Callithrix jacchus: one gene and its partners. The protein of the gene in region 6 interacts with the protein of the main gene of each other region in a pairwise test. Links are inferred from orthologs where the notes say so. Each region holds a gene or a part of one and is shown on either strand. Other genes may lie near its edges.

Region 1 (3,430 bases), on a different chromosome or scaffold from region 6:
CAGAATAGAGTCTGGAAATTGACCCACAAACCTATGCCCCATTCATTTTTTATATAATAAGTGTGAGAAGCCAACTGAACAGAAAGAGTATAACCTTTTCAACAAATAGTTGAAATGGACCAGCAAGGAGGACCGGGCAGTGCTGGAAGGGACTTCCTGGAAGCCTGGAAGGAGAGTCTCCCATCAGCTAAGCCCAGAGGGCATCAAAGGTTGCTGTTGCCCTCAACCCCTGCCGATCTCATCATCTCACATCTCAGCCATGGAAGAATGAGTTCCCTTACACGAGTAAAACATCGAGTACAGTGTTTTCTAGAGCAATTGGACATCCGTAGGTAAAAATACAAGCAAAGAGAAGAACCTGGACCTGCCCTTCACACCTTAGGCAAACATCATCTCAAAATGCATTGTATGGCTCAATATAAACACAAACTACACAACTTTAGGAGAAAACATAGGTGAAAATCTTTGAGTTCTATGGTTAGGCAGAGAGTTCCTAGGCATGGCACTAAGTAAGATTCATTTAACATTTTTTGATAAACTGGACTTCATTAAAACTTTTGCTGGCTGGATGTGGTGGCTCATGCCTGTAATCCCAGCACTTTGGGAGGCCGAGGCAGGTGGATCACGAGGTCAGAAGTTCAAGACCAGCCTGGCCAAGATGGTGAAACCCTGTCTCTATTAAAAATACAAAAAATAGCCGGGTACAGTGGCAGGCAATGTAATCCCAGCTACTCGGGAGGCTGAGGTGGAAGAATGGCTTGAAACAGGGAGTCAGAGGTTTCAGTGAGCTGAGATTGTGCCATTGCACTCCAGCCTGGGCAACAAAGCAAGATTCTATCTAAAAAAAATTAGAAGGAATATTTGCCTCATTACATTCCCATAACTAATGTGGAAAGCAATATCGCACTCCCTATTAGCACATGATACTAGATGCATTCAACTTTCTCCCTGGACCTGCTGCCTCCGCCTGCTGGTCAGGGGATAGACTCAGTACATCTCCCCTCAGGGCCAGGTGGACGGAACTCTTGCTTTCTTGGAGGAAACCCAGGAATCACAGAGACAGAGGGGAAGGGGACGGACTGCCGTGTGGCTGGGCAGGGCTGCTTGAGGAACATGTTAGCAAACCACAGGCACGTTCCCAGGAGGCTGCTTGCTGAGCCCTGCTCCTCTGGTCTCCCCCAAGTGGTCATTCTGAAATGGATAAGGACGGTGCAGGACTGGACTGCAAATGCAGGACTGACCTCCTGGGAGGGTGGGGCCCCTATCTCTCCTAGAGTCTGGTCAGACTCTGCCCAACACCCCCTCTAAGGCCACAGGAGAGGAGCAGGAATGATAGCCCCCAAAACCCAGTCCCACCGAGCCCTGAGGGGCCCTTTGTCACTCCATCTGATAAGAAACCCCACCCCTGCAGCCCCCTCCCCTCACCTGACCAATGGCCACAGCCTGGCTGGGCCCAGCTCCCTGCATATAAGGGGACCCGGGGGCTGAGCACCACCAAGGCCAGTCCTGAGCAGGCCCGACAGCAGTGCAGCCGCCCACCCTGCCGCCATGTCTCTGACCAAGACTGAGAGGACCATCATTGTGTCCATGTGGGCCAAGATCTCCACGCAGGCCGACACCATCGGCACCGAGACTCTGGAGAGGTGAGTGTCACACAGGGGACTGCCAAGAGGGACCAGAGGGAGGCCAGGCCTGTGAGTGGGGCAGTGAGGAGGGGACCCTGGGGGGGACTTGGGGAGGGAATAGTGGGGAGGGGACAGTGCAGAGGGGACAGTGAGGAAGGGACATCGGGGAGGGGACAGTGGGACAGATAGCCTTCCCTGTCAGTGAGGAGAGCAGGGTGAAGACGGTACGATTAGGAATCGCACAGGCATCTGGGCTGGCTGAGGCCTGGGGCACAGGCCCAGGTTCTGAGGAGCCGAGGGTGAAAAATCTCACTCTAGGTACAGCCTCTAAAGTCCCAGCATCTGAACCCCTGGGAGGGGCCAGGGAGCTTTTCCTTCCCTGGAACACTGCTGGGAGGTCAGGAGCCTGCAGAAGGGGTGGCGGGTGACCCGGTCCAGGACTGGCAAGGAGGCCCTGTGACCAGAGGAGAGGGTGGAGCGCCGGAGGCCCCACCAGGCGGAGGGCGGTGGATTTGGGGACCAGGCCGCACAGAACCCGTGGGAAGCAGCGACCAGCCGGGAGCCGCAGCGGCCTCGGGGTCTCCGGCTCAGGGCAGCCTCGGAGGGGCAGCTGCCTGGGCACGTGGGCACCGCGAGGAGGGGCTGGGGCCTGCTGCGAGGTCGCCGTCGGGTCCTGGAGCTCGGAGAGGGCCGCAGGGCGCGTGGGCCGTGGCGGGAGGCGGCGCTGCCGGGAACTCACGACGCCCGCCCCGCGCGCCAGGCTCTTCCTCAGCTACCCGCAGACCAAGACCTACTTCCCGCACTTCGACCTGCACCCGGGGTCGGCGCAGCTGCGCGCGCACGGCTCCAAGGTGGTGGCCGCCGTGGGCGACGCGGCGAAGAGCATCGACAACATCGGGGCCGCCCTGTCCAAGCTGAGCGAGCTGCACGCCTACATCCTGCGCGTGGACCCGGTCAACTTCAAGGTGCGCGGGGCGGGGCGGGGCGGGGCTGGGGCGGGGCGGGGCGGGGCTGGATGGAGGCGGGGTTTGGGGCGGGGCCCGCTCCAGGCCCCACCCCTCACAGAGCGGCCCCGCCCCCAGCTCCTGTCCCACTGTCTGCTGGTCACCCTGGCCGCGCGCTTCCCCGCCGACTTCACCGCCGAGGCCCACGCCGCCTGGGACAAGTTCCTGTCGGTCGTATCCTCTGTCCTGACCGAGAAGTACCGCTGAGCGCCGCCTCCGCGACCGCCAGGACCGGCTGTGTCCCCTCCCCTGTCCTTCACCCTCCTGCAGTTCCTCCCCTGACTCCAATAAACGGATGAGGAAGGACCGACCTGGGCTGTGTGTTCTCAGTTTTGGAGGGAAGGAGGGGAGAAGCTGAGTGACGGGTCCGGGGGGTTTCGCAGGAACTCGGTCATCCCCGCCGTCTTCGCGGCCTAGAGGTCATCTGGGGGTGGGTGCTGTGGGGAGGTTCTCGCCCCGGAGCACCGGAGCTGCAGCCCGGGAGGAGCCCCGCAGTCCCGGGCCGGCCCACGGCGTCTCCTGGGGTTCTCGGGTCCGACGGGCGTTTGTGCGTCTCGAGGCTTCTCAAATCGCCCCAAGATTGGCACTTCACTTAGCGTGTCGGGAGTGCGTGGGAACTCAGGGAACTTTTCCGCAAAGCCACATGCCCTAATCCCGGGACTCCGGCAGCTGCGGGGGTCCCTGAGGCTGGCCCCTCCCTACCCGACTCCTAAGAGAATGGGGGGATTCCTGCCCCGTGCTCACTCTCGGGTTCCTCCTGCATAGCAGTAACTTTGCCCGAGGGGAGTAATTACAGACGCC
Region 2 (3,500 bases), on a different chromosome or scaffold from region 6:
ATGATCCCACTTGTGAATAACCGCTGCACACCAGCCAGGGCAACATAGTGAGACCTCACCCTATAAAAATAAATAAATACATACTGTGGGAAACCAGTGGAGGGTTTTACATATGTAAGAGACAACTGTAGAGTGATCTTTCAGGAGAAAGAAAAGAGGCAGAAACATAGACTGCTTTAGAAGGCTCTTGTTGTGGTTTAAGGGTGAAACGATTATGCGTTGGCCTTCAGTGGTACCAAAGAAGATAAAGGAAAGTGGGCAGAACTGAGAAAGAATGACGAAAATTTGGAAATATGGTTGGGAGGATGAGGCTTTAAGAGAAAGATGACACCCAGTTTCCTGGCTTGTGCAACTGAGTAGGTGGATGTGCCATTTATAGAGATGGGAAGGTTGGGAGGGGAGCATGTTTGTTGGGGAAGGGGAAGATCAAGAGTTCAGGGCAGGTTTTACGGAGAAGGTAATCCTTAAAGTGGGTCAGACATAAGATGTTGTTGTAAAAAGGTAAATGCCAGATCAAGATGAGTAATACAGATAGAAGGTGCCCTGAGCTAAGCAGAAGAGATCAGCAGTTAGGAAGGGTAGGGAAGGTTTCTTGGAAGACACGGGACATAAACTTGCCTGTGTAGATTGGATGGCACTTGGATTAGTGCAGGAAAAATATTCCAAGTATAGAAATCATATAAATAAAAATATCAAGATAGATCATGTCCTGTGAGTGATCTAGACATACTGCATAAGAATGAAGTAGACTTGAGAAGGTTGAATTAGAAATGAGAGGGAGAAATAGGAGTCAGATTTATTAGGATTTCTAACATAGAAGTTGGCATTTTAGAATAGTTAATCTGGTATTTGTGTGTTGAATTAATTGAAATCAAGTAGATTGATTTTTAATTTTATGTTTTATGTATTGGTGTCAAAATAGAAATAAGGACTTGGATTGGACTTACAAATCCAATGGGAATGAAAAAAAATGAACAAGTGACTTTATTGGGTTGGGGGAGGAAAAAGCATAGTTAATATTCAAGAACTTGAAACTTGATAACTGGGAAGATGATTTTGTCAGAAGTAAGAAAGTGGGGAATGGGGCTGATAAGGGTTGGAATCAGAAGTTTTTAATTTTAAATATGTTAAAGAGGAGTTTCCAGTGGGGTGAAATGTCTCATGAAGAACATTGAATCAGAGCAGACAAAGCATATCTGTGACTTCACTGTTCATGTTTCCTTTTTTAAAAACCATCTTGAGCAAAAAGGAATCAGGTTCTGCATAAACCCTCAGATTGAGAGATACCAGTACTCAATAGCTCTGACAAAACAGAGAAACTGGTTGTTTTTGATCCTTTATTTTGTGTATCTTGTAGTACTTATTTTTCCTTAATTTTATTATCCTGCCAACGTAATGTTAAGTGAATTTTCCATACTTTAAAGATAATTCCTTTGATCACTTTTATGAGATTGTGCCATTTGTTCTTTTTTTCTTCATGAGTCTTGCCTCCTTGCTCTGTCCCTCCAACTTTCTACCCCTTGTAAAGTCTCTTTCAAGCAAGTCTGGTGGAAAGACACTTTTACTTTGAAAGTCTGATAAATACTGTTATCCAGTCAAAAACTTTGGCTTTTAGTCGTGCATTCTTTTGATGTCCCGATCTTTTGAGATGTTGCAACCTCTGGACTATTTGCTGACCAGATGGATGACTGTCCTTAAATGTTCAGTCATGTTCTGTTTGGCTGCCCTGTTTTAAAGAAAAATGCTTGGAGGGTGGGGACTTTCTCCTATAAAGAGCTGATGCATTGGCTACTTTCAATTTCTTTGTCTTAGCATCTTCTTGCTACCTCCCACAGGGATCCTTATGGCTTTGGAGACAGTCGAGATTCAAGGCGTGATCGATCCCCAATTCGGGGAAGTCCAAGGAGAGAGTCCAGGGATGGCAGAAATGGCCGGGATGCCCGGGACAGCAGAGACATTCGAGACCCCCGAGACTTGCGGGACCACAGACATAGAGACTTGCGGGATCACAGAGACAGCAGGAGTGTGCGCGGCGATGTTCGGGACATGAGGGATCTTAGAGACTTTCGTGATCTAAGAGACTCTAGGGATTTTCGAGATCAGCGAGACCCCATGTACGACAGATACAGAGACATGAGAGACTCCCGAGATCCGGTGTACAGGTACATATGTAGTTACTCTGCTTGTTTTTTTTTAAGTTCTTTTTATGTATGTTCTACTAAACCAATGGAAAGCTCTGTAAGAGCAGTAATTTTATCAGCCTTATATTTCTAGTGTCTGTTGAGTGGTAGATGTGCTGCTGCTCAATAAATTTAGCTGAATATATGAATGATTTTTAAAATTTTTAACAGAAAATAACTAGTGTTGACAAGGTATGGAGAAATTGAAACCCTCAGAAATTGCAGGTAGGAATGCAAATTGGTATAGCCACCATGGAAAACAGTTTGGGAGTTCCTTAAAAAGTTAAACATAGAATTAACTATATGATCTATCAGTTCCATCCCTGAGTATACACTCAAAAGACTTGAAAAGAGGGACTCAGATAGTTTTACATGAATACGCATAGCAGTACTATTCACAATAACCAAAAGGTAAAAACAATCCAGATGTCTGTCGGCAGATTAATAGATTTTTTTTTTTTTGAGACAAGGTCTTACTTGTTTCCCAGTCTGGAGTGCAGTGGCATGATCACAGATCACTGCAGCCTTGACCTCCCAGGCTTAAGTAATCCTCCCTCCTCAGTCTCCCAAGTAGCTGGGACTATAGCCATATGCCACCACACCTGGCTAATTTTTTTATATAGAGGTGGAGTCTCACTCTGTTGCCCAGGCTGGTCTTGAACTCTTGAGCTAAGTGCTGAGACTACAGGTGTAAGCCACTGCACCCAATGTGGATTTTTTTTTAAGTCGTATGTATATACAATGTGCTATCATTCAGCCTTAAAAAGGAATAAAGTTCTGATCTGTGTTACAGCATGAAGGACGTTGAAAACATGCTAAGTGAAATAAGCCAGACACAAAGACAAATATTGTATGAATTCGCTTACACGAGTTCATATTATATTGTATGATTTATGTTATATGATTTCACTTATATGAAATATCAAGAATAGGCAAATTTATAGAGACAGAAAGTAGATTTAAAGATTACCAGTGGCTGGGGAGAGGGGAGTTATTTGACGAATACAGAATTTCTGTTTGAAGTGAATTTTAGAAATAGATAATGGTGATGGTTGCACAACATTGTGAATATGATGCCACTGAGTTGTATACTTAAAAATTGTGAGGCCAGGCGCAATGGCTCATGCCTGTAATCCCAGCACTTTGGGAGGCTGAGGTGGGTGGATTGCCTGAACTCAGGAGTTCAAGACCAGCCTAGGCAACATGGTGAAACCCCATCTCTAGTAGTAGTAGTAGTAGTAGTAATAATAATAATAATAAATATTGTTAAAATGGCAAATTATTGTTATATACATTTTAGTATATATATATATATTTTTT
Region 3 (3,942 bases), on a different chromosome or scaffold from region 6:
GGGTTTTCAGATCCCACCCCCTAGCAGACTAGCTCTGACATGCACCTGAGAGCAAGGAAGACCTAGGAGTGGTGTTTGGTAGGTTGGCTGAGTGAGATATGAGGGCAGAGTAGTCTTGCCAGAAAAGGTGAGAGGGTCATGAGAGTGTGACAAATAGGATGACAGAGTGTGACAAACAGGTTCATTCAATGCCGATATCCAAGTCTCACCTACATTATGTGCATGTCTCATTTCAGTTGTCGTAATTGTCTCTATAATTTCCCCCTGAGTAGCGGTCATAACCACCCTGGTTTCTGAAAGAAAAAAACACAGATTTCCAAGACTGCATTAAACACCACTGACATTAATTGTATGCATCACATTTTATAGTATGTACCATAACATATAAACTTTAGATATCAAAAACAGGGTATGTTAAGCATATGTCACATATGCTTAAAGTTTCATGGCATACAATTTATATGTAGTATATTAAATATTACATGTTAAAACAATATAGTTACATAACTAACCCACACAGCACAACTAACATATAGTATACTTTATCATCTTGCAACTGTATGACCACACAATTAACTCAAAATACTTCATATTCATTTTAAGCACACGTTAGTAAAAACAGGGTGTGGTACATATGAACACCCAGGCACTGAGTTCTTAAGGAGACGAAAGCAATAGCAAAACACCCCAACCCCTTGGCTACGCACCTGCCATTATAGTCTCTGGAACTGGAACGTCCATATCCATATCCATACCCTCCAGGTCGACTGTCATAATACCTGCCACTCCCATAGCCCTGGTCCCCACCACCTACAGAAGAAAAAATATTTAAATGGCAGTTATCCACACATAGGCAATTCTCCCTCTCACCCCATGATCAAACTTATCACTGCACTCACCTCTAGAGTAGCTGCGACCACGCCCATGGACCCCAAAGGCACCTCCTCTAGTTCCCCGAGCAGACTTGCCTGCGTGATCCACACGGATCTGACGACCATCCAGAGACTACGTGTGGGAGACACAAGGAGGATGGGTTGACAGTCCATCAGGGCAGTGGTGAGGGAAGAGCAGGCATGGGCAAAGTGGGCAAAAGAACCCAAAAATTCCTGCTGGGCAACAGGTTCTGGGTGGTGCCACATTCCAGAATAAGCTCCTTTACACAAGAATGGATTTATCAGGAGCTACAGAATCCCACATAAAATGACCTGAAAGCACCGTGTTCCCTTTGCTACTACTTACATCTTGACTGAACTCAGGCTGAGTTCTCCTCCCCACTCCTCTAAGCTGCCCCACTATCAGGGTTAGACAGACACCTCTCTTGGTTTGAGGCTTCAGAGTCCATGTCAGAAGACTCACGAGGTCCTCTCCCGGCCAGGCCCACAGGTCTGCAGACTCTACTACCTAAGCCCAAGGCAGGTCAACCATCCACAGGTGGCTTCTCGGCCTCATGCAGGACCAGTCGTCGCCTCCCAGGCGGCCAGGCTCTGTATGCCGCTGCCCTCCACCCCCTAGAACAGAAGGCAGTCATGCTCCTGTGAGTGGACACTGCGGGGCTTGGTGGCCACGCTGCCCCGAGCAGACAGAGGGTAAAAACAGAATGAAGGAAGCTGCAGATGGGGGTAAGGCCCCTCTGCAGATAGGATGCCCCACCTCTCCGTTCATGGCTCTCATGGCAACTGAAGCATGCTCTGGGTTGGTGAAGGTGATGAAACCAAAACCCCTGGACCGCTGAGTCTCCCGGTCCTTGACAACAACCACTGTGAGGAAGAGAAAAATGGAACAATGTGGACGAGTCAGCACCACAAAGGTCAAGTAGCAAAGGGTGGCCTGAAAAGGGAATGGCGGTAGGTAGGGAAAAAGGAGCCCTCCTACCAATTCCAAAGATGTTTTCCTCAGCCTTAGTCGACACTGTAAGTTTAGGGAAAAAAAGAATTTGGAGGCTTGGGGTTCTGCCTTTTCGCTTAATATTCTTTGAAATACAAGGGTCCCAGACTTTCCTCACCAACCCCCGTTGTCAATCTGGCCCATCTCACCCTCAGAGATAGGCCCAAAGCTGCTAAAGTGGTCTTCCAGTGCCTGCTCATCGGTGTTAAAGTTGAGCCCCCCTACGAAAAGCTTTCCTTCTTCAGAGGACATGGCAGCGAGTTCAAGTCCTGTAAGAAGAAGAAGAATGGTGGCAGAAAGGAAGAAAAAATGGAGAAGTGAGAAAACAGCGAAAGGCAGAGAAGCACAGAAAATAGACAAGAAAGAGGAACAAAATATGGATAACTAGAGAGAGGCTGAGAAAGGAGGCCAATAAGGTGGCAATCTGCGGGGCTGGCTCAGCGCCGCCACCATTAGGGAACCACCATCGCGCATCCTCACACAAATTCACAGCCGCCACACCCGTCATTTTGTGCCACTGCGCAAGCCCAGAGCATCCTTGCCTTCCCTCGACGCTGGCGGAACAAGATGGCGGTCGCCACGTGAGGAAAGGAAATCAAGTGTAGGCTGTCGCGTGGTTACTGACACCACTGACGCCACCATGCCCTCCCGGTACGCCTCACACTCAAACGCGGCGCGCCGGCTTTCCACCAACCGAAACGTTTCACCTCCGAGCATGGGACCCCACGCCCCAGAAAAAGCCAAGCCTACGTGTCACTGGCCTTTATTCTCCCTACTCGCTATCCCCTGGTCTCGGGCGGCGCGGCGCATATGTGGCTAGGAGCTGCCATTGCGCAGGACATACGCAGCTTACCTGGAAATTAGAACGTAAAGAAGCCGAACACACAGAGAGGTCGGAAGAGCAGAGAAAACAGAGATGGAGCTGCGCGGGAAGACGACTGATAAAGCGTGCGTAGTGAGGACGTCACAGACCGTTCACCCTGCGCGTTCCGGCGTGCGTGCTGATTGGCTGAGGCCAGAAGGGGCGTGGTGGTAGGGAGAGGAAGGGACGGCAAAGCAAAGGGGGCAATGCTCTCTGCGCGTTTCCGGAAATGGTGTCGACTTTTCCAAAACTGGTGCACCCTAAATGTCAGCATCCACCCCCAACAACCGGCTGAGCGTCTTCATCCCTTCCACACAGAAACCTCACTCTTATACTACCTGCCGTCCCTGACATCGTCCTCCCGTCCTTACCATCATTTCCCCCGCTGGATCTGATGTCTTCCTCACCATCGCAGCTGTTTTGCTCTAGGTCCCTGCCATTCTCTGATGTCAACCTCCTTCATCTTCTAATTCTTTTTTTTTTTTTTTTTTTTGAGACAGAGTCTTGCTCTGTCGCCAGGCTGGAGTGCAGTGGCACGATCTCGGCTCACTGCAACCTCCGCCGCCCCATGCAATTCTCCTGCCTCAGCCTGTAGCTGGGACTACAGGCGCGCGCAACCACGCCCAGCTAATTTTGATGTTTTTAGTAGAGACGGGTTTCACCGTGTTGGGCAGGATGGTCTCGATCTTTTAACCTCGTGATCCGCTCGCCTCAGCCTCCCAACGTGCTGGGATTACAGGCATGAGCCACCATGCCCGGCTCATCTTCTAGTTCCTTAACCTCATATCCTTCAAACGCCCAACATTGTATTCCCCCACCATCACTAATGTCATCACCCTTCACAGTCCATGATGTCAGACCCTACGTTTTCAGGTTTGACCCTAACTCTTATTTTTTCTCCTCTGTGCTCAACATCTAGCCATCTGTCATGGGACCCTTTTCCCTGGCATCATTCCGTCTCATCTCTGACTTCAGTCCTCATCCTTGTCTGACTCCCCCGTGAAGCCAGCCCCTTAATTTTCTCACCAGTAGACTGCCTGAGATGCCTTTTACAAAACAGGATTCTAAGATCTTCAGAGGCAAATCCTAATCCAATTTTTGCTCTCTTCAAAAGTAACTGAGACCTTGATTCACAGAAGGGACTTTCGCAATACACAATAGGCTTATCCCAAGCAAGTGGTGTCTGAGCCCACTGC
Region 4 (2,205 bases), about 32 Mb from region 6:
TTGACTCCCCACCAACCACGACCATATGGGCTAGACCTGGGGCCAAGGCCTCCCCGAATTGGGCCTCTACCCCATGGAGGAGGTGGGAGGCTCAGCAGTGGTGGAATCAATGGTCCCCTTGATCCTGGAGGACCTCTGTGAAAAGCTGGAGAGAGGAAAAAAAAAAAAAAAGGTGACCAATGGGCAGCTTAATCCTAATAAGCCCTGATTTTTAAAAAAATTTTTTATTGAAGAACAGCATACATAAACACACACCAGTTTTAAGTGCACAACCCAATTATCACAAAGTAGACACACTTGACTTTCCGCCACCAAATGATAAGGCCTTATTAGCACCTCAGTAGATCCTCCCCTTGTGCCCCTTTTCCCACTATCCACCCTCCTCCCCAAAGGTAACCACTATCCTGACAGCATAGGTTAGTTTTTGCCTGTTTTTGAACTTCACAAAAAATGGAATCATACAGTCTGCATTCTTTTATGTCTGGCTCCTTTCGCTCAACATCATGTTTGTGTGATTCATCCAGGTTGCCTGTAGAAGTAGTTCATTCATTTCGCTGCAGTGTAGTATCCCATTGCATGCATACACAACAACTTATTTATCCATTCTACTGCAGATAGACTTGTGGGTGGTATCCAGTTTGGGGCTATAACGAGAAATTCCACTATAAACATTTTTATACATGTTGTTACACATATGTATGCATTTCTGTTGAGTATATATGCAGTAGAGGTATTGCTGGGTCATAGAGTGTACGTTATGCTCAAGTTTCATGCATAATGCCAAACTTTCTTTTTGGAGATGGAGTCTCACTGTGTTGCCCAGGCTGGAGTACAGTGGCATGATCTTGGCTCACTGCAACCCCTGCCTCCCGGGTTCAAGCAATTCTCCTGCCTCGGCCTCCTGAGTAGCTGGAACTACAGGTGCACACTGCCACACCCAGCTAACTTTTTGTATTTTAGTAGAGACGGGGTTTCGCCATGCTGCTCAGGCTTGGTCTCAAACTGCTGAGCTCAGGCAGTCCACCCACCTCGGCCTCACAAAGTGCTAGGATTACAGGCATGAGCCCAAACTTTTTTCCGTAGTGGTTGTACCAATTTGCACTCTCACCAGCAGTTGTCCTTTAGCCTTGACAGCACTTGGTATTGTTTTTTAATTTTTACCATTCTGGTGAGTGTGAAAAGTGGTGTTTTAATTTTTTAAATGAGAGATTGGGTCTTGCCACATTGCCCAGGCTGGTCTTGAACTCCTGGGCTCAAATGATCCTCCCACCTTGGTCTCCCAAAGTGCTAGGATTATAGGTATGAGTCATCATGTCTCATCTTGTTTGCTTTTTATTGTGCTAAAAAACACATAAAATTTACCATCTTACCTGTCTTTAAGTGTATATATAGTTCAGTAGTTACATATATTCATATTGTTGTGAAACAGATCTCCAAAAGTTTTTTATCTTGCAAAACTGAATGAAACTGTTCCCATTAAACAAAACTCCCCTTCTTCCATCTTCCTTCCCCCAGCCTCTAGTAACCACCATTCTGTTTCTTTGAATTTGACTTTATTTTTATAATTTTTTTTGAGACAAAGTCTTGCTCTGCTGCCCAGGCTGGAGTGCAGAGGTGTTATCTCGGCTCACTGCAACCTCCACTTCCCAGGTTTAAGCAATTCTTGTGCCTCAGCCACCTGAGTAGCTGGGATTACAGGCGTGTACCACCATGCTGGGCTAATTTTTGTATTTAGTAGAGATGGGGTTTCCCCATGTTGGCCAGGTTGCTCTCAAACTCCTGACCTTCAGTGATCCGCCTGCCTCGCTCTCTCAAAGTGCTGGGATTACAGGCATGAACCACCATGCCTGGCCCCTGAATTTGACTTCAGACTCCTCACATAAGTGGAATCATACACTATGTCTTTACTTAACATAAAGTCCTCAAAGTTCATCCATGTTGTAGTATATGACAGCATTTTCTTCCATCATAAGGCTGAATAATATTCCATTGTATGTACACACCACATTTTTTTTTCATCATTGGATATGTGGGTTGCTGCTATGAACATGAGTCTGCAAATCTCAAGACCCTGTTTTCCATTTTTTTTTGGATATATATCCAGAAGCAGGAGTTCTGAGTAGTTCTATTTTTAATTGTTTTAGAGGAACATCTTCATATTGTTTTCTATAGTAGGTTTACCATTTTATAATCTCAGCAGCAGTA
Region 5 (3,500 bases), on a different chromosome or scaffold from region 6:
GGACCTGATGAAGCGAAGATCAAGGTAAAACTTGACTTGGGTAGTTGCAATGAAATTACATTTAATGATGAGGTCAAATGCTTCTTTTCATGTTTCCCAGAGAGTTTCACTTTTAAAAATTAGTGTTTAGAAATGAAATAATTTAGAGAAATTACATAAGAAGGATAATTTTGGGGGTCAACACTCAATTGTATGTTTAACGAAAAGCCCTAATTCATATTCTCCCTCATTCATGGCCATGAATGATGTAGAGACAGACTCTTGCTCTGTTGTCCAGGCTGGAGTACAGTGACGTGATTTCAGCTCACTGCAACCTCTGCCTCCCGGGTTCAAGCAATTCTCTTGCCTCAGCCTCCTAAGTAGCTGGGATTACAGGTGCATGTGAGTGTGCTTGGCTGATGTTTGTATTTTTAGTAGAGATGGGGTTTCACCATGTTGACCAGGCTGGTCTTGAACTCCTGACCTCAGGGGATCCATCTGCCTAAGCCTCCCAAAGTGCTGGGATTACAGGCATGAGCCACCATGCCTGGCCTGAACAACGTACGTTTATTGATGATTCTGCTGGTAGTTTCTTGGATTGATCCAATAATGTCTCTTGGTTCAGTTATTTTCCAGGCACTTTGTTTCTTTTCTCTTGATAAAAAGATGTTGTTATAACTGCTTTCCTCCTTTTGAATTTTCAGTTACTTCAGTTTATTTGTAAAATGGGAAGAGTAATAGTAACTACCTCACAGAGTTATTTAAGGATTAAATGACTTAACATATATAAAGCACTTAGAATAATGCCTGGAATATAGTAAGAACTATTTAACCATGAGCCATTATTATTACCATTTTGTTACTTAGATAAACAGCTTTGAAAGGTAAATATACGCTTTTAGTGAAAGACCAGTAAACCTGATTCCTTATAATGGATACTCTGTCTTACTGTAGTGATGTACTTTTGTTTTGTTTTGTTTTTGAGACAGAGTCTTGCTCTGTTGCCCAGGCTGGAGTGCAGTAGTGCGATCTCAGCTCACTGTAACCTCTGTCTCCTGGGTTCAAGCGATTCTTCTGTCTCCCTCTCCTGAATAGCTGGGACTACAGGCATGCACCACCATACCCAGCTAATTTTCTTTTTATCTTTTGGTAGAGACGGGGTTTCACCGTGTTGGCCAGGCTGGTCTCGATCTTTTGACCTCAGGGAATCTGCCGACCTCAGTCTCCCAAAGTGCTGGGATTACAGGTGTGAGCCACTATGCCTGGTCTGTGATAGACTTTTTAATTTGAAATAGATATTTTATGTTGAAGTTATTTCTATTATTATTACATTGTAATATGTAATGAAATAATTATACAACTCACCATAATGTAGAATCAGTGGGAGCCCTGAGCTTGTTTTCCAGCAACTAAATTGTCCCATCTGGGTGTACTGGGAAATAGTGACAGATCTTAAGGCATTATATTCTCATAAGGAGCCTGCAACCTAGATCCTTCGTATGTGCAGTTCACGATAGGGTTCACGCTCCTATGAGAATCTAATTCGGCCGCTGATCTGACAGGAGGTGGAGCTCACAGCTCAGGCAGTAATGCCAAAAATAGAGAGGAGGAGGAGCAGCTGTAAATATAGATACAGCTGCTATGCAGCCCAGGCCACTACTTATCCATGGCCTAGGGGTTGGGGGAGCCCTGTTTTCTATTGCATTTATTTCTATGTTTAAAAGTAGAGAGCTCTGTTTCAGTTGAAAGTGGAGGAATGGAAGGCCGAAGACATGCATCCCTGTGGAACCCTAGTTCATTGAACTTGATGATATCTAAAGTCTCTTGTAGTTCTGACATTGTCTAATTTAAAAAACCTGAATTGTAAAATTCTCTCTTTTCTACATAGATTGCATTTCTTTGTTTGCCATTGTGTGTTTTGTTCTGTAGGCTCTTTATGTAAATGTTGCCTCAATTATAACATAAGCTCCTTGAGAGCAAAGACTTTATCTTCTTTTCTTTGATTCCTCTTAATGCCTAATAGAATGTAAGGAAGGTTGGTAATCAGGAAACACAAGATTTTACATATTTTTTGAAACTTGACTAATTTGGTAATTGCCAAATGTTTTTAGTCTGTACTGTGTGATTCTTGTCTGATTGTCTGATTCTTGTGGTGCTTATGATATGGCAGGAGTATAAAACAAAAGGATCAAACAAAGCTTCAATTATGGGACCTTGAGTACACTAGAAAGACAGTGGGGGCTGGTCGCGGTGGCTCACACCTGTAATCCCAGCACTTTCGGAGGCCAAGACAGGCAGATTACTTGAGGCCAGGAATTCCTGACCAGCCTAGCCAACATGGTGAAACCCTGTCTCTACTAAAAAGAAGAAAAATTAGCCGGGCGTGGTGGACATGCCTATAATCCCAGCTACTTGGGAGGCTGAGGCAGGAGAATCGCTTGAACCGGGAGGCATAGGCTGCAGTGAGCTGAAATGATGCCATTGCATACTCTAGCCTGGGTAACAGAGCAGGATTCCATCTTAGGGAAAAAAAAAAAAAAGAAATTAGGAAGAGAGGGATGTGAGTAATAGTAAACAAGAGAAGCTGCATGAAGGAGGTAAGACTTATGCTAATTTTTTGAGGATAGAGAACATTTTATTTGAAAAGACTCGCTGGTAGAAACATGTATGGGGAACTAGTGTGAATTTTGACTTTTTTTTTTTTTAACCTAATCATAAAAATATATTTCCTAGGAAGTTGGAGTACTTTGGAAAAGATTAATACATTGATGCTTGTGTTTGAAATTTAGTATTCAAGTATAAAGAGATGTATAATTATCTCTAGGCCTTGCTTGAGAGAACTGGTTATACTCTGGATGTAACCACGGGACAGAGGAAGTATGGTGGTCCTCCACCAGACAGTGTGTACTCTGGCATGCAACCGGGAATTGGAACAGAGGTAAGTGTTCTTTAGCTGTTTGCCAAGATCTTTCCAGGTTGAAAAGTGTTTTGTCTACTATGTAGATACTGTACAGAGGGGGAAAATACTTGATCCCTTTCAAACTGTACCTGCTATTATTTTTTAGATATCCATGTGTATGGATGGGAGTTTTGCTGCCATTATGAGCATGGATAATGTTGTGACTAGTAGATATCCACACACTTTATATCAGAATATAATATAGAGTTCTTGGAACGGGTTGCTAAAACCATGCTACTAGCAACACATCATTTTATATATTTGGAGTAAAATTATTTGGAAGATTGAGTTGCTTTATTCTGTTTTTTTTTCCTGCCCCTGAGATGGAGTTTCACTCTTGTTGCCCAGGCTGGAGGGCAGTGGCGCGATCTCAGCTCATTGCAGCCTCCACTTCCGGGGTTCAAGTGATTCTCTTGCCTCAGCCTCCCCAGTAGCTGGGATTACAGGTGTGTGCCACTACACCTGGCTAATTTTGTATTTTTAGTAGGGATGGGGTTTCACCATGTTGGTCAGGCTGGTCTTGAACTCCTGACCTCAAGTAATCCACCCGCCTTGGCCTCCC
Region 6 (4,038 bases):
TATTTAAATACAATAAGATAACTTGGAAAAACGTCAGCGTATCTTATTTGTAGCAAAGTTGGCCTTCATTCCATCACACCAAAAATAATGGGGAGAGAAGAATGGGAAAATGACTGCTTACGAAAAGAGAACCCAAGACTTGCGGAAAGATTGTTTCCTATCATTTGAGGTATTCAAGTTACGTTTTATGGCCGCGTTGTAAGAGGAGGATGGATTTTGCCTCCACGGTTGGTGATATCATGAGGGTTTAAATTTCCTTTAAATAGAGGTGTAATAGATAATACAAAGTAGCTCAGCAACAGTACCTGGTGAAAGTGACTGGCACATCTAAAATGAGGAGAAACGGGAGAATTAGAGGAAACATAGTTACCTATTTTCTTGTCTCTTCTTTCTTCTACACCTTCCTAATTCCTTCACAAAGAGTGACTAATTGATCATACACACACACACACACACATACACACACACACACACACACGTTTTTTAAACATATATATGTTTTTAAATTCAGCCCTCTCAACCTCCCTTCCACAGATAGGGTCTGGGGAAAGGAGGCCAGGATAGGTTATCAGAACTAATTCAATATCCCAATGATTGTACACCGGAAGCATGTTTCTGTACAATATTGCTCCGAGACGCCTTATTTGTTTATCAATGAGCATCCTACTGCGTCCCTGAGATGTAGGTCATCGGAAATACCAGCTGCAGATCACATGCAATCTTCATTATATCTCCAGACCCAGTGCGCTGCTGATTCCTGCGCAACTGGAGTGCGTCTGAGCTATGTGAGGGAAAGCAGACACCTGTGCCTTAGGGACGCAGGTGAAGTCTCAGCTGCCATCCTGAGACTTTCCCTGGCGCTTTTCCACCCTCTGGGCGGCTCACTTCTCATATCCATCTCCCCTGTCCACTTGGACTCAGGCCTGTCTGTTTAACCTGCGCTTTTCCCGCCCTCTCTCTCCTCCGCACCTTAGATGAAGACACAGAGAGCCCCACAGAACTGGGCATGCCTAATAGCCAGGGAAGGCTTGGGCTGCGAGAAGAAAGCGTTTGCACCTTCCAAGCTCCCCTCCCCTCTGCAGCTGCCTCATGCCAGTCAGGCGACCCGACGTGCTCCACGGCCCAATGAAGGCCCGCGGCCCTCGCGAGCGCTCCGCCTCTTCTGGCACCACCACCAATGAGTGGCTGGCGGAGGTGGGCCACGTCCTGTTCCCGCCTCTCCAGTTAAGGCCGCTGGTGTGAGCCGGGGCTCGGCGCGAGCGAGAGACGACGGAAGGGACGGGCAGGTGTGGGCGCGGGGCCACGCTGCCCGACGGCGGGAGTCACAGGCGCTGGGTGCATGGGCCAGTGAGGACGCGCAGAGATCCCCCCGCCGCGCGGAGGAGGAGCAGCGCGGGAGCCAGGCTGTGCCCCGCGACCCTGCATCCGAGCGAGCAGAACCTCGCGCTTCGCCGGGGGACAGTCCGAAGTCCGCGCTATGGAAGAGGAGAAATATTTGCCTGAGCTGATGGCAGAGAAAGATAGCCTGGATCCATCTTTTGTGCATGCATCGCGCCTTTTGGCAGAAGGTAGGACTTGCCCCCACCGATGGGCACTAACCGCCGGCTGCCCATCTGGCCCGCGGCTTGATAAGGGGAGTGAAGTTGGGGAGGGACTCCTGTCGCCGCCTTCGCAGAAACTGTCCCCTGAAGATGCTCCTCTCGGAGCTCGGGCGGACAGACCCGGTTCTTGGTTCTTGGGGAGCACAGCTGTGCTCTTTCTCCACGTCTTAATTTGGAGAAGACCAAAGCTACGGAGATCTAATGGCAGTAGCGATGTGACCTGTTAGGATCATAGATAGAGATACCATGAAGTGTAACGCCGTCCACAGGGACATTTTCACTTTGCAGAGGGAGGGGAAAGCAGTTTGGAAGTAAATGGTAATAAATGTAGTGTTCTAAGAGCTTCTTAGCTACAGATAAGCATTTGTTTTTTTTATTGTTGTTGTTTGTTTTTTGGTTTTTTTTCTTTTCTTTTTTTTTTTTGCTTCATTTAGGAAGTGGTGTTTGATACCCTTTAATCAAAGTCTTTCCTATGGAAAGTGTTAGAATTAAACTATGCATGTTCTTATATATATTTGAATGTGGAAAGCAGAGGCTAAAGTGCTTACACATTTATTTGAAGTGTGATGATTGGGTACTCTGTGAGATATTGGTCCCTGGGAACACTCCATAATTGATCAACTGTTTTACCAAGTGTGCATTTTCTTTTGTGTACCTGCAACGTTAAAGGAGATTTCATTCCCAGAGGAACATATATGTCTTGTCTTTTGCATTGCTTTCAAAGGTTTAAAAACAAAAAAAGACATACGAACTTAACCAAATTACTCCATTTATGTTATAATTATTCCATCTAACTACTAAAGATACCTATGATGTCTGTAGTTATTTACACATACCTTTTTAAAACATCTGCAGATTTTTTTGGATGAATGCTTCATTAATAATGAATTGCTTCATCATCAAATTGTTCACAATGTAATTTTGGAGCTAAGGTTGTTCTGGACTCACCTACAGCAAAAACCTAAAAGGGATAAATTCCTCTACCCAAGCTCCTCAGTATTAAAATATTTTTTTTGAGACTTAGTTGTACCATGGAAGAATAAATTCTGCTCCTCAGTATATGATTCAAATATGCATTAGCTATATATTTTTAATTCATGGATTGTTATTTATAATAATGAAGTGTAAGATATGTTTCTATATTTAAGTGCTAAACAATTAGGATGAGATTTATAGTCAAAACATGGAATATGTGAAATAACTAAATTGTTTTCAGGGAAAAAGCAGATTTTATAGATAAGTGGGAAGTTGAAATACAATTATGCTTACTACTTTCTTGGTTATTGAATAAAAAAATAGAAATTAAAGTGGAAAAGTAAGTCAATAAAAATGAACTTTTGAAAATTTCTTTAAGAAGATAACTACATAAAAATAATAGGAAAACAATGAGTTAATACATGTTTAAGGGTTTTTGAAATGATTTAAAAGGCAAGTCATCAGTATTCAGTAGCCTTTAATATATTTGAATAGTCTTCAGTGTATTTTCTGGAAGTTTCTTCATGTAACTGATAATGTCTTTAAAGTGAAAAAAAAAGTTACAAATTGATCATTTTCTCTGACCTGCTAATTGGAGTTCTATTTGAGACAGGTAGCTCAAAGATTAATTTATCAGTTGTTAATGTGAGTTACTGTACTTGAGGACTGCCAAGCTGAATAAAGGCATACAAGACACTCTTAAAAGAGTGCATAAGTATTTATGTAGCTGGTAAAACAGTCAGTGAAGGCTATGCACTTGGTTCCTTAACATTTTATCTTTCCTAGGAACTTGATTTCTTGATACAATACTTAAGAACATGTTCGAATGTACCTTGTAATTTGATTTTTTCCCAGCAGGGGGAAGCATGCCCTGCTTTTGTAAAGAATTAGAAGGAAAAGCTCCTAAATAGAGAAAAGCTAAGTAAGAAACAAAGAGGGTGCCCAAATTTCAGAGAAATCAGAATGAGGAAAAGAGAATGGAGGAGGTTATAATAATCTTGGGGTACAGAAAGAGTTATGCAAAAGGATGCATAGGTTTTAGATTACTTCTCTAATTGTACGTGGGGCTCTTTATGTGTGCTTATTAAAGAGTGTAAGATAATTGTTCTTGGAATCTCAATAATGTTAATGCATATTTTATGGTATAGCTCTTTCGTTATCTTTCCAAAGGCCACTTGCCAAGATGTCCATACTTTGTTTCAGATCGCTATAGAAGAGTATCATTGAGATGATTTTATTTCTCATACCTGAGAATGCATTGATTGAAGGCAGTGGCTATAAATAAACCTGACATAGATATTCGTTTAGAAAGAAGGTGCATACTGAAGTACATTTCAGTCAGTACTGTGCAGACAGTGTCAAGCCTGAGTGAGTAATAAAAATGATACAGATGATTCAGTTCTTCAGAATGATTTTCCGGAAGCTAATATATATAAAGGCAGTGATATAAACCAATGAGCTT
Region 7 (3,500 bases), on a different chromosome or scaffold from region 6:
GGTCACTATAGTGATTTGCTCATTTTACCTATTGCCCTTTGTAGATTCTCGGGATTTGAAGATGGCTGCACAGTCAGCGCCGAAAGTTGTGCTAAAAAGCACCACCAAGATGTCTCTAAATGAGCGGTGAGGCAGCCAACAGCAACTTCAGCTCCTTCCTAAGAAAACATTACTTAACTTGGCCCTGGGGTCCAATGCACAAAGCCAGTTGTAAGCTAAGTACCAACAGAAGGCTACAGACCTCTGTTTTTAGTTGCATCTTGTGTGGTACACAAAACAAATTGGGCGGTTGTTTCAAAACCCCTTATCAGTAGATTTTTATATTAAACTGTGAAATATTTATTTGGTGGGATGTATTTTAAAAGACTCCTAACACCCTCCCTTTTCACATTTTTTTACATTGATACAGGGGTCGTGCAGCACGGTAGCATGGTACCCTGGCTACAGTCGGCTTGCTGCCCAGTCCAAGGCCAGCAGTGTTGTGTCTGGCCTGTAAGAGGCAGGTAGCAAGCCATGAATATGTCCAAAGGCCCTTGAATGTCATTCTTGGACCTTGTAAGAGGCACTTGCTTTGCTTCATTTCACTTTCTTTTCCATTCTGCTTTTAGTTTGTTTTTGTTTTGGATTCTTTTACAGTTAAGTGCTCTTCTCTTCCATTTCATTACACTGCCTTGACAGAAATAATAAGGAGTGTCTTCACAGGCTCATAAATGAACTAGTTTACCTTTCAGAAGTAACTGCTTGGAGTCAGAAAAAGTGATGATTTGAGACTAATGAAAGTAAAGGTATTTAAAGGCAGTTTCTATCTCTGACAACTTTGTTCATTAAGAGTGCCTTTGGGCCGGGTGCGGTGGCTCACACCTGTAATCCCAGCACTTTGGGAGGTCAAGGCTGGTGGATCACGAGGTCAAGAGATCGAGACCATCCTGGTCAACATGGTGAAACCCCGTCTCTACTAAAAATACAAAAATTAGCTGGGCATGGTGGCGCGTGCCTGTAATCCCAACTACTCAGGAGGCTGAGGCAGGAGAATTGCCTGAACCCAGGAGGTGGAGGTTGCGGTGAGCTGAGATCGTGCCATTGCACTCCAGCCTGGGTAATAAGAGCGAAACTCTGTCTCAAAAAAAAAAAAAAAAAGAATGCCTTTGACCAGTGATTTCATTAAGTCGACTTCAGATCGTTGAGATTTACTTAATGTCTATTTTTTTGCCTCTTCTGAAGCATATGTACTTCTCTCCTTACTCTTCGGCTATGATAAGCTAATTATTTTTGTTTGTATGTTCTATGTGATAAATACTTTAAAATGTGATACACTCCTGTAATTTATGAGAGTATGTTAATTGCTGTGAGCTTTGAAGGTGCTCTAGTCCTTCCTCCTATTTGGCCTTGGAATGCACCTTGGATTCCCCTAAGGTTTAGGCTTTCTTCGTTTGTCTTTGAAGCTGCATCTTCTGTCTCTTGTCATTATATCTGCTTATTGCGTGTTTTTCATACCTTCAACCTCTCTAAAAGCCGTTACCTGAGCCCTTGTTATCACTTTCGGTTGAATGTGCTGCACCTAGCTGCATTTCTAAGTTTCTGATTCTTGCAAGTTTGTGGAAACAGAGGAGTCTTTAACCCACATCAGCCTTGATCTAAGTGTACCACTTTACTTAAAAGTTCGTGGGATCTGAAGCTCCTGGTCTAGCAAGCCATGAAAATGCCAATAAATGTTTGTAATAAAGCTTTTATTTAAACATCCATTTTGTTCGACCTTGAAGCTTCACTAATATGCTGAAGAACAAACAGCCGACGCCAGTGAATATTCGGGCTTCGATGCAGCAACAACAGCAGCTAGCCAGTGCCAGAAACAGAAGACTGGCCCAGCAGATGGAGAATAGACCCTCTGTCCAGGCAGCATTAAAACTTAAGCAGGTGAGAGAATGGGTCATAATGCTCCAGAAGCAGCTGGTGATCTCGGTCAGGGAGTCCACTGAGGCTGTCAGGACGTGATGGATGATTACAAGGTGGCTCAGGGCAAAAGCTGAAACTTCTCTGAAAGAAAGAGAAGTTCAGAGAATTCCAATTTTAGCAGGTACCAATAAGTAACTTTTTACTGTTTTTCTCTTTTAGGGAGTTTGCCATCTCTGTGGCCTGTTTCTGTTACCAATGAGTGTTAATCGTTTGTTTTCTGATCCTTAACCCTTAACATTGATTAATGGCTTATTCCCCAGAGAAATTTTATTTCAAGTCCAGGTGCTGTGGCTCACGCCTGTAATCCCAGCATCTTGGGTGGCCAAAGTGGGTAGATCACTTGAGCTCAGGAGTTCGAGAGCATTCTGGCCAACATGGTGAAACCCCATCTCTACTAAAAATACAAAAAATTGGCTGAGCACGGTGGCACACCGCCTCTAGTCCCAGCTACTAGGGTGGCTGAGGTACAAGAATTGTTTGAACCCAAGAGGCAGAGGTTGCAGTGAGCTGAGATCACACCACTGCACTCCAGCCTGGGCAACAAAGCAAAAAAAAAAAAAAAAAAAAAGCACACGGAAACTTTATTTCAGCTTTAGATAATCTCACAGCATCCTTTACTCTCTGATAAATTTTTGTTTTTTTGTTTTGTTTTGTTTTGTTTTTTTTGAGTTTCCCAACTCTTACCCAGGCTGCAGTGCAATGGCGCGATCTCGGCTTACTGCAACCTCCGCCTCCTGGGTTCAGGCAATTCTCCTGCCTCAGCCTTCTGAGTAGCTGGGACTACAGGTACGAGCCACAATGCCCAGCTAATTTTTTGTATTTTTAGTAGAGACGGGGTTTCACCATGTTGACCAGGATGGTCTCGATCTCTTGACCTTGTGATCCACCCACCTCGGCCTCCCGAAGTGCTGGGATTTACAGGTGTGAGCCAACGCGCTCGGTCAACTCTGATAAATTACCCACCAGAAAAATAATTTTATTCTTTTTTCCCTGGTTCAGGGAGTTTGCATGACCTTAGTCAAAGGTTTTCTTTTTGTTTGTTTGTTTTTTGTTTTTTGTTTTTTTGTTTTGAGACGGAGTTTCTCTCTTGTTACCCAGGCTGGAGTGCAACGGCGCGATCTCAGCTCACCGCAACATCCACCTCCTGGGTTCAGGCAATTCTCCTGCCTCAGCATCCTGAGTAGCGCCACCATGCCCAGTTAATTTTTGTATTTTGAGTAGAGACGGGGTTTCACCATGTTGACCAGGATGGTCTCGATCTTTTGACCTCGTGATCCACCGGCCTCGGCCTCCCAAAGTGCTGGGATTACAGGCGTGAGCCACCGCGCCCGGCCAGTTAAAGGTTTTCAATGGTAAAATATACAGAGTAGAATGACCCTCATTTCCACAGCACCTTAAGTTTTACCAGTAAAGTGGAGCAAGAATACTGAGTAATTTGAGTTGGGGGTTCTTTCAGATTTGCAGTAGGAGATAATTCTATTCAGACCTGAAATAAAACCTCCTCTTTATTATCCATAGAATTTATATGCAAGTCCGGACAGTGGCCA

The links.
Region 1: the proteins of KHDRBS2 (region 6) and HBZ interact in binary tests that used the Homo sapiens proteins (3 or more experiments, as listed by UniProt). The two-hybrid records come from large-scale screens. The link is inferred for Callithrix jacchus from reciprocal best matches to the Homo sapiens genes KHDRBS2 and HBZ.
Region 2: the proteins of KHDRBS2 (region 6) and NCOA5 interact in a two-hybrid assay, tested with the Homo sapiens proteins (2 studies listed by BioGRID). The two-hybrid records come from large-scale screens. The link is inferred for Callithrix jacchus from reciprocal best matches to the Homo sapiens genes KHDRBS2 and NCOA5.
Region 3: the proteins of KHDRBS2 (region 6) and RBM3 interact in binary tests that used the Homo sapiens proteins (3 or more experiments, as listed by UniProt). The link is inferred for Callithrix jacchus from reciprocal best matches to the Homo sapiens genes KHDRBS2 and RBM3.
Region 4: the proteins of KHDRBS2 (region 6) and PRR3 interact in binary tests that used the Homo sapiens proteins (3 or more experiments, as listed by UniProt). The two-hybrid records come from large-scale screens. The link is inferred for Callithrix jacchus from reciprocal best matches to the Homo sapiens genes KHDRBS2 and PRR3.
Region 5: the proteins of KHDRBS2 (region 6) and HNRNPR interact in binary tests that used the Homo sapiens proteins (3 or more experiments, as listed by UniProt). The link is inferred for Callithrix jacchus from reciprocal best matches to the Homo sapiens genes KHDRBS2 and HNRNPR.
Region 7: the proteins of KHDRBS2 (region 6) and CHTOP interact in binary tests that used the Homo sapiens proteins (3 or more experiments, as listed by UniProt). The two-hybrid records come from large-scale screens. The link is inferred for Callithrix jacchus from reciprocal best matches to the Homo sapiens genes KHDRBS2 and CHTOP.

What each region holds. Positions count from the first base shown.
Region 1 is NC_133513.1:2,437,539-2,440,968, forward strand, and holds HBZ (hemoglobin subunit zeta), read left to right. Parts: upstream 1-1,496; 5' UTR 1,497-1,548; coding exon 1,549-1,643; intron 1,644-2,385; coding exon 2,386-2,590; intron 2,591-2,707; coding exon 2,708-2,836; 3' UTR 2,837-2,930; downstream 2,931-3,430. UniProt on the Homo sapiens protein: The zeta chain is an alpha-type chain of mammalian embryonic hemoglobin.
Region 2 is NC_133506.1:41,307,807-41,311,306, reverse strand, and holds part of NCOA5 (nuclear receptor coactivator 5), read left to right. Parts: intron 1-1,835; coding exon 1,836-2,162; intron 2,163-3,500. UniProt on the Homo sapiens protein: Nuclear receptor coregulator that can have both coactivator and corepressor functions.
Region 3 is NC_133524.1:49,137,901-49,141,842, reverse strand, and holds the start of RBM3 (RNA-binding protein 3), read right to left. Parts: upstream 2,801-3,942; 5' UTR 2,738-2,800; intron 2,406-2,737; exon of another isoform or gene 2,365-2,405; intron 2,154-2,364; 5' UTR 2,137-2,153; coding exon 2,034-2,136; intron 1,758-2,033; coding exon 1,651-1,757; intron 1,006-1,650; coding exon 900-1,005; intron 811-899; coding exon 708-810; intron 294-707; coding exon 233-293; 3' UTR 210-232; intron 1-209. UniProt on the Homo sapiens protein: Cold-inducible mRNA binding protein that enhances global protein synthesis at both physiological and mild hypothermic temperatures. Reduces the relative abundance of microRNAs, when overexpressed.
Region 4 is NC_133505.1:35,355,642-35,357,846, reverse strand, and holds part of PRR3 (proline-rich protein 3), read right to left. Parts: intron 146-2,205; coding exon 1-145.
Region 5 is NC_133508.1:60,089,410-60,092,909, reverse strand, and holds part of HNRNPR (heterogeneous nuclear ribonucleoprotein R), read left to right. Parts: coding exon 1-24; intron 25-2,803; coding exon 2,804-2,917; intron 2,918-3,500. UniProt on the Homo sapiens protein: Component of ribonucleosomes, which are complexes of at least 20 other different heterogeneous nuclear ribonucleoproteins (hnRNP). hnRNP play an important role in processing of precursor mRNA in the nucleus.
Region 6 is NC_133505.1:67,513,534-67,517,571, reverse strand, and holds the start of KHDRBS2 (KH domain-containing, RNA-binding, signal transduction-associated protein 2), read left to right. Parts: upstream 1-1,238; 5' UTR 1,239-1,477; coding exon 1,478-1,568; intron 1,569-4,038. UniProt on the Homo sapiens protein: RNA-binding protein that plays a role in the regulation of alternative splicing and influences mRNA splice site selection and exon inclusion. Binds both poly(A) and poly(U) homopolymers. Phosphorylation by PTK6 inhibits its RNA-binding ability.
Region 7 is NC_133519.1:14,056,570-14,060,069, forward strand, and holds part of CHTOP (chromatin target of PRMT1 protein), read left to right. Parts: intron 1-44; 5' UTR 45-61; coding exon 62-126; intron 127-1,760; coding exon 1,761-1,914; intron 1,915-3,500. UniProt on the Homo sapiens protein: Plays an important role in the ligand-dependent activation of estrogen receptor target genes. May play a role in the silencing of fetal globin genes.